3 linked regions of the Sus scrofa genome follow. The protein of the gene in region 1 interacts with the protein of each later gene in a biochemical or structural test. Links are inferred from orthologs where the notes say so. Each region holds a gene or a part of one and is shown on either strand. Other genes may lie near its edges.

Region 1 (2,780 bases):
TCTAAAATCTCAGTATTTAAATACTATGCTAAAACAAATTTCCCAAGGCAGGTCTAGGACAATTCGTTATCTTGACAAATTTTTTGTTGTTGTTCTTGTTTTTAAAGAATACAACTGTTAGTTGGGAATGGCAATGTAATAGAGGGGAAAAGTTTTAGAAACTACATTCATCCTTCTACTACTCTTTCTGATGTAGAAACAAGGCACAAGTGAGAAATGGGAATTCATCAGTAAAGGCTCTAATAACTAAGAATATAAAGCAATAAGGAAGACACCTATGTCTAAACTAAAAAGTAATATATACCAGAACAAAAAAGCTTGAAAGGAAGACCACAAGTCAGCAACCTAAAGGTATATTAACCTTGTCCTCTCCTTCAAAGTATCTATAGCTACCTATCAGATTAAAAACAAATGAACAAAAGCAAACTAATGCCAGATTCTCCTCTCAAAAGAACTAGTATTTTTTCTTATCTAAAATGGCGCTGGTAACACAATAAACAGACTTAATAGTTACACGCCTAAGTCAATCAGTATATGTTGGTTGTCTTCCTGTTTGCTAGGTAAAAGAAAGAACTGAGTACATTCAAAATAATAATGTTCAAGTCACTATAAAGAGCATTCCTTACCGAGAGCAGATCCAAGCCATTTTCATCCAAGTTTTTGACGTGGGATGCTAGGCTTCCTGGTTTCCACTTGGGAAATGTATTCTTATAGTCCTGTAAAGACTCCACTTCTGGCCACACTTCATTATTGGGAGTGCCCAAAGCTCTAAAAAGCCATAGCAAAACAAAAACTGAAGAGTTAAAGGATCAACATTAATCTTATTATATACATGTTGTCTTAATATTTAAAGTTCTTAACAGCTTACGTATAAAAAACAAAAATACCTGAAAATTCTGAAGAGTTGATCGATTTCTGAATCCCCGTGGAAAAGTGGTTTCTTAGTTGCTAGTTCGGCAAATATGGTACCTATACTCCAAATATCAACTGGAGTTGAGTAGCGAGCTGACCCCAGCAATACTTCTGGAGATCTATACCAGAGTGTTACTACCTATTACAAACAAAATATTTTACTTTGAATAAATGTGGCTTAAATATAAACATTTATATTTCATTAGGACTGTCCTTTAGAAGGCTGCATAATGGTCATTGATAACTGTTTAAAAGTCAATTAATTACATATAATATTAAATGTTAAATAGTTCATTTCCAAGTTATATATGTTGGGGGTGGGGGAGATATAAAAGCTTACCAAGTCTTCTCAAATGAGTAAAACGAGAAACTCAAAATAGTCAAGATAGGCTTCACTTTAAAAAAAAAAAAGTTCCCATTGTGGCTCAGTGGTTAACAAATCCGACTAGGAACCATGAGGTTGCAAGTTCGATCCCTGGCCTCGTTCAATGGGTTAAGGAACCGGCATTGCCATGAGCTGTGGTATAGGTCGCAGGCATGGCTCAGATCCCGCGTTGCTGTGGCTCTGGCGTAGGCCAGCAGCCGTGGCTCCAATTAGACCCCTAGCCTGGGAATTTCCATATGCTTCAGGTGCAGCTCTAAAAAGTAAAAAAAAAAAAAAAAAAAGCTAATTGGGAGTTACTGTTGTAGCTTATTCGTAATGAACCCAACTAATAACCATGAGGATGAGGGGTTCGATCCCTGGCCTCTCTCAGTGTGTTAAGGATCCAGCATTGCCGTGAGCTGTGGTGAAGGTCACAGATACTATTTGGGTCCTGCGTCACTATGGTGTAAACCACTAGCTGCAGCTCTGATCCACCTCTAGGCGGGGAACTTCCACATGCCACACTAGTTGCCTTTAAAGAAATAATAATAAAATAAAATAAAAATTTAAACTTTAAAAAAGCTGACTGATAACAGATTTAGGGGTGATACTGTACAAACACTAAAATCACAAATAAATTATTCAAACAGTTTATTAGTGGTCTGGAGCCAATCTACTATTTTAGCATGCCTAATATATCACAATGGAGGTCAAGTGCATCTGTGTAAGCCAATGGAAACCAAGTCATCCTTATTTATATAGCCATGGAGAAAATGAGAAAAAGGAATGAGAAAAAAAAGCCAAGACATCTGGTGAAAAGAGAACTGCTATAAGTTGTAACCTGGAGAAAGTATTTGGGCTCAAAGGTAGACACCTATACAGAAGAGTTTTCCAACAATCCTTAACAAAGTGATTCAATATTCACTTTCCCTCTAGATATCATCAGTACAACACTGACAGAACTTGTTTATAATTAGTAGCTTCTAAATACATCTGAAACAGTAGGCTTTAAGCAACAAAACCTCTTTTAACCGATCTTACTGTTTCAAGAGAAGATCCAATCAAGAGACAAATAACATGACAACCTGAATAGGAATTCTTACTATGAAGGATTATTAACAACAGAGGATTCAAATAATCAGAGATTGACTAGAAAGAATAACTCTAAAAAACTATATAGCAACGTCCTGCTGTAGAGCACTGGGAATCATATCTAGTCACTTATGATGGAACATGATAATGTGAGAAAAAAGAATGTGTACATGTATGTGTGACTGGGTCACCTTGCTGTACAGTAGAAAATTGACAGAACACTGTAAACCAGCTCTAATGGAAAAAAATAAAAATTACTTTAAAAAAAAACTATACACCAATGAAAACCCTTTCTTCCTGCAATGCCTCTCTAGCACCCTCTACTGATAAAGAGTAGCATCACACCAGCTGGCAAAGTAAAAATATTGAAAGGTTCCAGATACATTTTCAGACAGCAGGCAATGAAGGATAA
Region 2 (4,264 bases), on another chromosome or scaffold:
CCACATCGCGTCCACCTCGCCGGAGCGCGCCTGCCCGCTGCGGGCTGTACGCACGGAGACCCCCGCCTGATCACGTGGCGGGGGCTGGGCCCCGACAGCCAATCAGAGCGAGGGGCCCCCGCTACTGGGGCAGGGGAGGCGGACCCAGGGATGGGCGGGCGGGGCCTGGCGGGATCCGCAGTGGACGAAAGTGGATTGGTCTGTAAATTGAGACTGGAGCTGTCCTCAAAGGGGGAGGGGAAGTGACGGGGCGGAGGAACGCGCGTCCGGGCCTCCAGACCCCCACCCATCCCCTGCCTGCACACTTAGCACTCGGAAGGTTAAGGGGATGCCCTACGGGCGCGGGAGGCAGGCGCCGGGAAGCGGGCTGAAGCACATTCTGTACGCTCTAGCCCCAGGGTTGCCCCGGTTCTGTCGAGCTCTTGGAACCCTCCCCCATTCTCAGGTGCAAACGCCCCCGAGATTTCCCCCACTCCTTGCCCATCCGATTGCTACGCATTCTCCTCCAGGCTTGGAAGTGAAGAAAAACACACTGCACGGGCTTTTTCCTTTTTTTTTTTTTTCAATTTTATTTTAAAGTTTCAAAATTACAAAGACAGCAAATTCTTCCCGGCACAAATAACACTTGTTTAAAAAGTAAAAGGGGGTTGGGATGGTGGGGGGGGGAGGGGAAGGACGCACAATTGCGCGTTTTCCCATTTTATTACAAAAAAGGGAAAGACTGTACAGGTTTTTTCTCCCAGCTCCCGGGTGTGAAACGTTAAGTCCTAGCCCTAGATTGTATATATACATATACACACATACACACAGACCTAGCTCTGTAAAACTACTTAGCAATTCAAAGTCAACTGCAGTATGTCTCACTGTCCACTCCCCGCCCCCCTCCTCCCCCATCTACAACTACTCATAAAAGACTCAGAAGTAAAGAGGTCAGGAGGTTTTTAAGTGGCGGGTGGCAGGGCTGGAGCCCCGGCCGACCACCTGGCAAAGCCATCTCTTGTACAGGAGGAACCAAAAATCAGGCGAAAAGGAAAAAAGGTCCTCCTAGGATGCAATCCGATGGTGTGGAAAAAAACCAAGTTTTAACAGGGCACTCTGAGGCACTTGGCTGACCCACTCCCCACCCTTCCCCCAAAGCTTCCTCTGCTGTTTCACAGGAGACCTTCGGAAGCCACAGAGGTCTCCCAATAGCTAGTCTCCAGCTGATTCTGAGAAGCCACAATTTCTAGGACCAGCTGTCATTTTGACCTCCTCCCCTCACCTAGGACAATAGGGAGGCTACAGGGGCAAAGGAACAGAAGTGAGAAGGAAACTGGATGTGGATGCCCCACTGCTCACCACTGGGAGGTGCAAATCAGCCCAGACAGGGTTTTTTGTTTTTTTTTTTCCCCTGCTCCCTCCTTTGCCGTCCCACTGATGCCACCTCTCTCCTCTCCGCTAACGTTCTGCAACTCACGAGGAGTGTTCAACTTAAAACCTTACCAAGGCTGGGCTCCCTGTCATCTTGCCACAAGCTACCTTGCCCCATTCTCCCCCGACTTTTACCTTCCGAATGAATCAACCATCCAACTGAACAAAACACACAAACCCACCCAAATCCCCCAAACCATAAGTAGATTAATGACAAATTAACAAAACAAAATAGAAGTACATCATTACAGAGATTTGTCGTTGCTGTCCTTGCATGACTGCTTCAAGAGAAATGAATTATTCCCTAATTTCTGAGGAATCCAAATTCTGTCTCTTTATAAAGTCAGACGAGGAAGGGGCAAAGGGTTGCAGATGAGGATCAAGTGAGAAGAAAAAAGTATTTACAGAAAACAGGAGACAGGCAGGAGTGTCCACAAGAAAAGCCTCATTGTCACTTCTTCTTGCCGGCCCTCTTGGCACTGGACTTCGCTTTGGGCTTCACTGGTTTGGCCTTCTTAGGCTTGGATGCCTTGACTGGTTTGGCTTTGACAGTCTTGGGTTTTTTGGCTTTCTTGGGCGTGGCAGCCGGCTTCTTCTTGGCCTTCTTGACCGGGGTTGCTTTGGGCTTCTTGCTTGGGGCTTTGGAGGCAGCCTTCTTGGGCTTGGCCGTCTTCTTTGGCGTGGCCACCTTCTTGACTTCCTTCTTCGTCTTCTTGAAGGCCACTGACCTCTTGGGCTCGTCGCTCTTGGCCAGGCGGAAAGACCCCGAGGCACCCACCCCTTTGGTCTGCTTGAGGACCCCGGTGGTGACCAAGCGCTTGATGGACAACTTGATCTGGGAGTCGGCGTTCTCACCCACCTTGTAGTGGCTCTTGATGTACTTCTGGATGGACTGGCGCGAGGAGCCAGCGCGGTTCTTCTCTGCCTGGATGGCAGCCACGATCATGTCTGAATACTTGGGGTGGTCTGTGGACTTCTTGGAGGCCTTGGCCCGCTTGGGCTTGGCCGCCGGGGTGGACGTGGAGTTCTCGGTCATGGTGGCCTGCCTGGTCCTGTGTTGAAGAAGGCGCCTTCCAAAGGGCCAGCCCTCGTCGGAGGCCGAGGGAAGCCTGATTCGGGATCTGCTCTGGGCGCTCCTGGCTCCCAGGCCAGGCCGGGGGCCGCCTCTCGGACCTGGCTCGGGTCGCGGGGAGGGGGGGCACTCGCTGGGCCGGCTCTGCGTGGCCCGGCCCCGCGGGTCTGTCGGTCGGTCTCAGCGCCCGGCTCTGCCTCCGCCTCCGCCTCCTCTGCCTCCCTTTTCCCAGCTCCGCGTCTGGCGCTCGGGCGGCGCATCCGGGTATTTAGCGGCGGCGGGCGGACCGCGGTGAGGACAGGGCTGCTGGCTGCCTGCTCCGGGCCCGGAATGGCGCCGCGCCGCCGCCATCTGTGTTTCTTCTGCCGAGCAAATCCGACCTTTCCCCCCGGCCCGGGCCTTCCCGCCCCCGCCGCCGCCCAGGGCCGCTGCCTGGCTCCCTGGGCTCCCCCGCCGGGCGTCCCGCCGGCCCGGCCGCCGCCCCCCGCGCCCGCCACGCGCCCCAAACGGCGCCGAGGACCGCCGGCGCGCCGGCACATTTCCCCTTTGCGGGGGGCTGGCTCTGCGGGGCCGGGGCGCCCCGGTGCGGGAAACCCCCCGTAGCAAAGCTCCCCCCTGGGGCTACCGGGGGCCCCGCTCCCGGCCCGCGGCGGGACCCCCCAGCCCGGCGGAGCGGCCGGAAAGCGGCCCCAACTAACACACGCGGCCCCGAGCCGGGCGACTCCCAGCCGGGCCGAGCCGGGACAGGGGGGAGGGGTCGCTCCCCCAGGGTCCGATCACCTCTCGGGGGTCATCCCGCTACCGGGCCCACCCGCACCTCTACCTTCTCTCTGTCCTTGGGGCCCCCAGGCAAACTTTCCCTGGAAGAGTTGGAAGGGCACTTTCAAACTTTGTCCCTGCCCCCTCCTCGGTCTCCTCTCCCCCACCGCGCCCCCTGACCTCTGCGTCGGGGTTCTGTCCTGAAGCCAGACCCCCCGTGCTGCCTGGGTCCCCTGAGGGAGTGACGAAGGGTCTTCCGAGTCACCCCCTCTCCTCAAAGACCCCCCACATCCCCCATATATCCTAGCCGGGAATTCATTTGTAGTCCTTCCTCAGCCCAGGAGTTTGGGGGTGTCATGAGACAGAGTTCGCTGCCCCCCACGCCTAGGGCCCAGCTGGGGGGGTCCAGGCTCCCTCCCAGGGCTCCTTGAAGGCAATGAGGGGGGGCGGTTCACAGTGAAGGAGCTGCCCCGCAGGCTCTAACCAAAGACTGTCTCAGGGGCCCCGGGGATGAGGAGAGGCCCTGAGAGCTTTGGGAGCTTGGGGAAACGGGGCTCCAGGGAGGGAGGTCGAGGAGGGGGTCCTGTTCCTGAGTCCTGACTAATCCTCAGAGAGTGGCAGTTGTTCAGAGAGCTGTGGCCGGGACCACCGCCATTTTGCTGGGAAGATGCAGTGTCTTTGTTACAATGTACACTTCTTCCCCCCCCCACTGCTTGGCAGGTACAGATGAGGAAAACCAGGGGTGCCACGGCTCCTAAGGAGTCTTGGGGGCTCTGAGGGGCTTTAGGGGTCCAGAGGCTAGCAGATAGGACCCCCGAGTTCCTGAGACCCCTCGTCTGCGACGGATGTCCTACTTGCGTGCGGCTCCCCCTTGGCAGGGGTCCTAGGTTGAGATGCCGGGATGCTCAGGCCTGGCTCCCTGAGCCCCTTCTCGCAACAACCTGCTTTTATTTCCTAAGCAGAGGCCCCTCACTCTTCCGCTTAAACAATACCCTGGTAGTGGGGGTTTACAGCAGGTCAAAA
Region 3 (4,335 bases), on another chromosome or scaffold:
CCCCGCCCCGTTCACAGCCCATGTTCAGAAGCTCTAACGCAGCTCCAGTGGGCTGGCAATCCTGAAGCCCCACGGCTCAAGTCTCAGCTCATTCCTAGGGAGAAGGTTCCACCCTGGGCGAGGCAAGCCAGGCAGGCCAGGGGCTACTGCCTCCACTCCGAGGCACCACTGTCCCTGCCCCCCGCTCCAGAACTCTGGCTTGGGGATCCTGCCCAGGGAAGAGGTCATAAAACAGAGAGCTCCAAAGTTCTCCCTGCAAAACACTGACTTGATGAGAAGCAGAGTGTGAAAAGTTCAAGCCTGAAGGCACTCTCAGGAGTTCCCATCGTGGCGCAATGGTTGACAAATCTGACTGGGAGCCATGAGGTTGCAAGTTCGATCCCTGGCCTTGTTCAGTGGGTTAAGGATCCGGCATTGCTGGGAGCTGTGGTGTAGGTCACAGATGTGGGTGGCTCGGATCCCACATGTCTGTGGCTGTGGTGTAGGCCGGCGGCTGTATCTCCGACTTGACCCCTAGTCTGGGAACTTCCATAAGCTGCGGGTGCTGCCCTAAAAAAAAGATTAGGAGTTCCCGTCGTGGTGCAGTGGTTAACGAATCCGACTAGGAACCATGAGGTTGCTGGTTCGATCCCTGCCCTTGCTCAGTGGGTTAACGATCCGGCGTTGCTGTGAGCTGTGGTGTAGGTTGCAGACTTGGCTTGGATCCCACGTTGCTGTGGCTCTGGCGTAGGCCGGTGGCTACAGCTCCGATTCAACCCCTAGCCTGGGAACCTCCATATGCCGCGGGAGCGGCCCAAGAAATAGCAACAACAACAACAACAACAACAACAAAAAAAAGACAAAAGACAAAAAAGACAAAAAAAAAAAAAAAAAGATTAAAAAAAAGGTAAAAAAAGAGAACAGATATCCGCAGATAAACAAAAACAGAAAAAATTCATTGCTAGCAGACCTGTTTTATAAGGAACACTAAAGGAAGCCCTTCAGACTGAAAGCCTGTGATCCCAAAGAGTAAGTCAAATCTACGTGAAAAAGAAAGAGCACCAGTAAAGTTAATCATGTAATATAGAAGACAGTATAGGAGTTCCCGACGTGGCGCAGAGGAAACGAACCCGCCTAGGAATGATGAAGTTGCATGTTCGATCCCTGGCCTTGCTCAGTGGGTTAAGAATCTGGCGTTGCTGTGAGCTGTGGTGTAGGTTGCAGACACGGCTCGGATTTGGCAGTGCTGTGGCGTGGTGTAGGCCTGGGGCTACCTCTCCGATTCGACCCCTAGCCTGGAAACATCTATATGCCGCGGGTGCAGCCCTAAAAAGACATAAAATATAAAATAAAATCAGAGACACTTTGAATTCCAAAACACACCTGGCCTCAGGGATTTGTGGACTTATAATGCCGACTTCATGGAAGGCTTAGTGTAGCGCCTGGCATGCAGACCCCTCAATAACTGTTACATAAAGCTCTGAGCAGTAATTGAAAGAACACACAAAATACAGTGGTCCATGGGTATAAGCAACTCTGTGTTGGGGCAGAGCGGGCTACTGTGTTTCTATAATGTCATAATTGAAAGAAAAACAAGAGGGGGAAAAAATGCGAGAGGAGTCCAATTTTGAGAGGAAGCCACAGTGTATCAAAAGATTCCATACCCTGGAGTTCCAGCCCTGACTCAGTGGTTAATGAATCTGACTAGGAACCATGAGGTTGCAGGTTCGATCCCTGCCCTTGCTCAGTGGGTTAAGAATCCGGTGTTGCTGTGAGCTGTGGTGTAGGTTGCAGACACGGCTCGGATCCTGCGTTGCTGTGGCTCTGGCGTAGGCCGGCGGCTATGGCTCCAATTCCACCCCTAGCCTGGGAACCTCCATATGCCGCGGGAGCAGCCCAAGAAATGGCAATAAAGACAAAAAAAAAAAAAAAAAAAAGATTCCATAACCAGCAGGGGGGTAAGTGCTGGGGAGAGTGAGAGGGGGAGGCAGGGGACCCCCCCCCCATAGAGGTCTGCATTTAAGACTCACCCTACAGCCTGTGGGGACCCTTGCTCTGCCATCCCAGAGTTTCTCAAAGTGAAGGATCAGGGTGTCAGGATCTCCTAGGGTGCTGGTTAGGCGTAGACTCCAGGCCCAGACGTAGGACATTTGGGGACCTTGGGCACCCGCATCTTAAACCAATTCTCAAAACATCGCAATGTCACTGTCACTTACGTTCTAGCACCCCTGGCATGGCCAAACAGCTTTGGGGGTGGGACAGGGGAGGTAGAAGGAGCAGGGGCTCCGGGTGAATCCAGGGTGGTCCTGAGCGGAGGCCAGGCCGCGACGACCTCTGCAGCTTTCAGGGGCCTCACCCTCTCACTGGGCTGGACACATCTGCTGAGCACGGTCCACTGCACTAGACTGTGAGTTCCTCCTGGGCAGGGCCACAGCTGAGTCACCTCCGTGGGCGCAAACCCTGGCCAACAGAGTGGAGCAGACCAGCTGTCAGGGGACAGGTCTGTGGGGGTTTTCCTGGAGAGGGACGACTCAATGGGGAGCAGTCGCTGGGGGCAAGGGGTCCCAAAAGAAAGGGGTCAGGGAAGCTGCAGAAGGAGTAGGACAAGAGCAGTCTGGGGGCAGGAGCCTCGAGAGAGGAAGTGGGTGGAGCCGCCCGGGGCAGGGTTGGGCCAGGGAGAGGTTAGCAGAGGGGCAGGGCAAGAAAGGGGAGGGGTGGGGCTGTCGGAGGGGGATGTGCAAGGGGGCGAGAGGGGGTTGAGACTGAGGCAGATCCGGGGAAGGGCTGTCAGGGGACAAGGGGATGCTGGCGAGGGAAGCAGAAGAGTGGGGAGAGCTGTTCCGCCCTGGAAATGTCAGGGCAGGGTATGGGCTCACCTGGGGCGGGTGGGCGGGGCGCAGCTCAGCGAGGTCCCGGATTCCGGTCTGCTGAGGGTGCGGGGATCCCCTGAGCGATCAGGCTGGCCGGGGTCTTCGGTGGACCGCTCCCCACACTGGCGGGGAGGACTCTCTGGACGGGGAACGGCCCGTGAACGCGCGCGGAGCCAGCTCGCGCCAAAAATTCCAAACCGGCCTCGAGGCCCCGCCCAGGAACGCCTCTTACCCCGCCGCCTCTCCGAGACAGCCTATCAGAGGAGCCCAATCTGCCGGGGCTCCGCCCCCAACGTCCGGGCGTGCGCGTCGCCGATCCCGCCCCGCCTGCTTCGCGGGGCTCTTGCGCAAGCGCGGAGCCACCTGGGCGCTGACTCCGAGCGGGGTTGGCTGCGCCGTGTGCCTGAGGGGCTGAGGCACCACGCGGAATCGGAACCTGCTCCTGGGGCCCTCCCGCCTGGTTCCCAGGACACCGAGGGACCTTCGGACACCGACAGAGCTCCACACCCCAGTCCCGGCACCCACGGCCCTCGCTGGTCTGCCTTAGTTTTCGCCTCTATAAAAGGAAGGGTCACTGCCTTTCGCCCGGGAGGGAGGTGTAGCCCCAAGAGGCGGTCACTAGGGGCCTGACAGGAAGTCCCCGCGGCCTCCGGGGCTCTTGCAGGTGGAGTCCCCTGGGCTCGCCGCTCCCTCCTCACGCCTGCAGTGCATGGCTCTGGGGATGCGGTGAGGGGTTGTCCCCCTGACATCCCCCCACCCGCGGAACGCTCAGCTTGGTGAACTAGAAAATTCTGCCTCTGCAGGAAGCCTCCCGGTTTCCAGGTCTCGGCCACCTCTGAGGGGGCCTTTTCGCATTCTTTGGATTTGAGACGTAAGCTCAGCGCAAACTCCCCTCAGCTCCTTCCTGGCCGAACGACCTTGGGGATGCACCGGGCCTTTCCGAGCTTCGGATTAACCTCCTCTCCGGTAAAAATGGAGCTGATGACGCTTACCTCAGGGAGCTGGAGGTTCAAGTGGGATGATCCGCTTAAAGTTCTTAGCAAGGGGCCTGCCAGAGCAAACGCTAATTCCTAACAGCTTCTTCCTTCACCAGAGAGAACCTTTTTATCCACATAACAGGATCAAGGGGGGGTCAGGCCACCCTCCCTAGAAAGCTCCCCATTTCATCACATTGCCTTTCCTGCTTTACTCTCACATTGCATTTATCTCTCTCTGGAATTCTATCCTCTTATCAGCTTTTGTTTTGTTTTGCTTTGTTTTTTAGGGCCGCGCCTGCAGCACATGGAAGTTCCCAGGCTAGGGATCAGCTAGGAGGGGCAGCTGCTGGCCTCCACCACAGCCAGGCAGGATCTGAGCCGTGGCTGCCACGTACACCACAGTTCACGGCAGTGCGCCGGATCCCCGACCCACTGAGCAAGGCCAGGGATCGAACCCAAATCCATGGATACTAGTTGGATTCGTTTCCGCTGCTCCATGATGGAAACTC

The links.
Region 2: of the proteins of CDK1 (region 1) and histone H1.0, one has a biochemical effect on the other in vitro, tested with the Homo sapiens proteins (3 studies listed by BioGRID). The link is inferred for Sus scrofa from reciprocal best matches to the Homo sapiens genes CDK1 and H1-0.
Region 3: of the proteins of CDK1 (region 1) and PKMYT1, one has a biochemical effect on the other in vitro, tested with the Homo sapiens proteins (2 studies listed by BioGRID and IntAct). The link is inferred for Sus scrofa from reciprocal best matches to the Homo sapiens genes CDK1 and PKMYT1.

The regions. Positions count from the first base shown.
Region 1 is NC_010456.5:64,243,979-64,246,758, reverse strand, and holds part of CDK1 (cyclin-dependent kinase 1), read right to left. Parts: intron 1,052-2,780; coding exon 888-1,051; intron 769-887; coding exon 627-768; intron 1-626. UniProt on the Homo sapiens protein: Plays a key role in the control of the eukaryotic cell cycle by modulating the centrosome cycle as well as mitotic onset; promotes G2-M transition via association with multiple interphase cyclins.
Region 2 is NC_010447.5:10,038,402-10,042,665, forward strand, and holds histone H1.0, read right to left. Parts: upstream 2,842-4,264; 5' UTR 2,447-2,841; coding exon 1,862-2,446; 3' UTR 543-1,861; downstream 1-542. Other genes in the region: GCAT (2-amino-3-ketobutyrate coenzyme A ligase, mitochondrial), read right to left, coding at 1-6. UniProt on the Homo sapiens protein: Histones H1 are necessary for the condensation of nucleosome chains into higher-order structures. The histones H1.0 are found in cells that are in terminal stages of differentiation or that have low rates of cell division.
Region 3 is NC_010445.4:39,200,555-39,204,889, reverse strand, and holds the start of PKMYT1 (membrane-associated tyrosine- and threonine-specific cdc2-inhibitory kinase), read right to left. Parts: upstream 2,843-4,335; intron 2,534-2,842; coding exon of another isoform or gene 2,514-2,533; intron 2,440-2,513; 5' UTR 2,215-2,439; coding exon 2,196-2,214; exon of another isoform or gene 2,010-2,195; intron 1-2,009. Other genes in the region: uncharacterized protein LOC110260113, read left to right, coding at 2,514-2,533, 2,843-3,385, 3,653-3,923. UniProt on the Homo sapiens protein: Acts as a negative regulator of entry into mitosis (G2 to M transition) by phosphorylation of the CDK1 kinase specifically when CDK1 is complexed to cyclins. Mediates phosphorylation of CDK1 predominantly on 'Thr-14'. Also involved in Golgi fragmentation.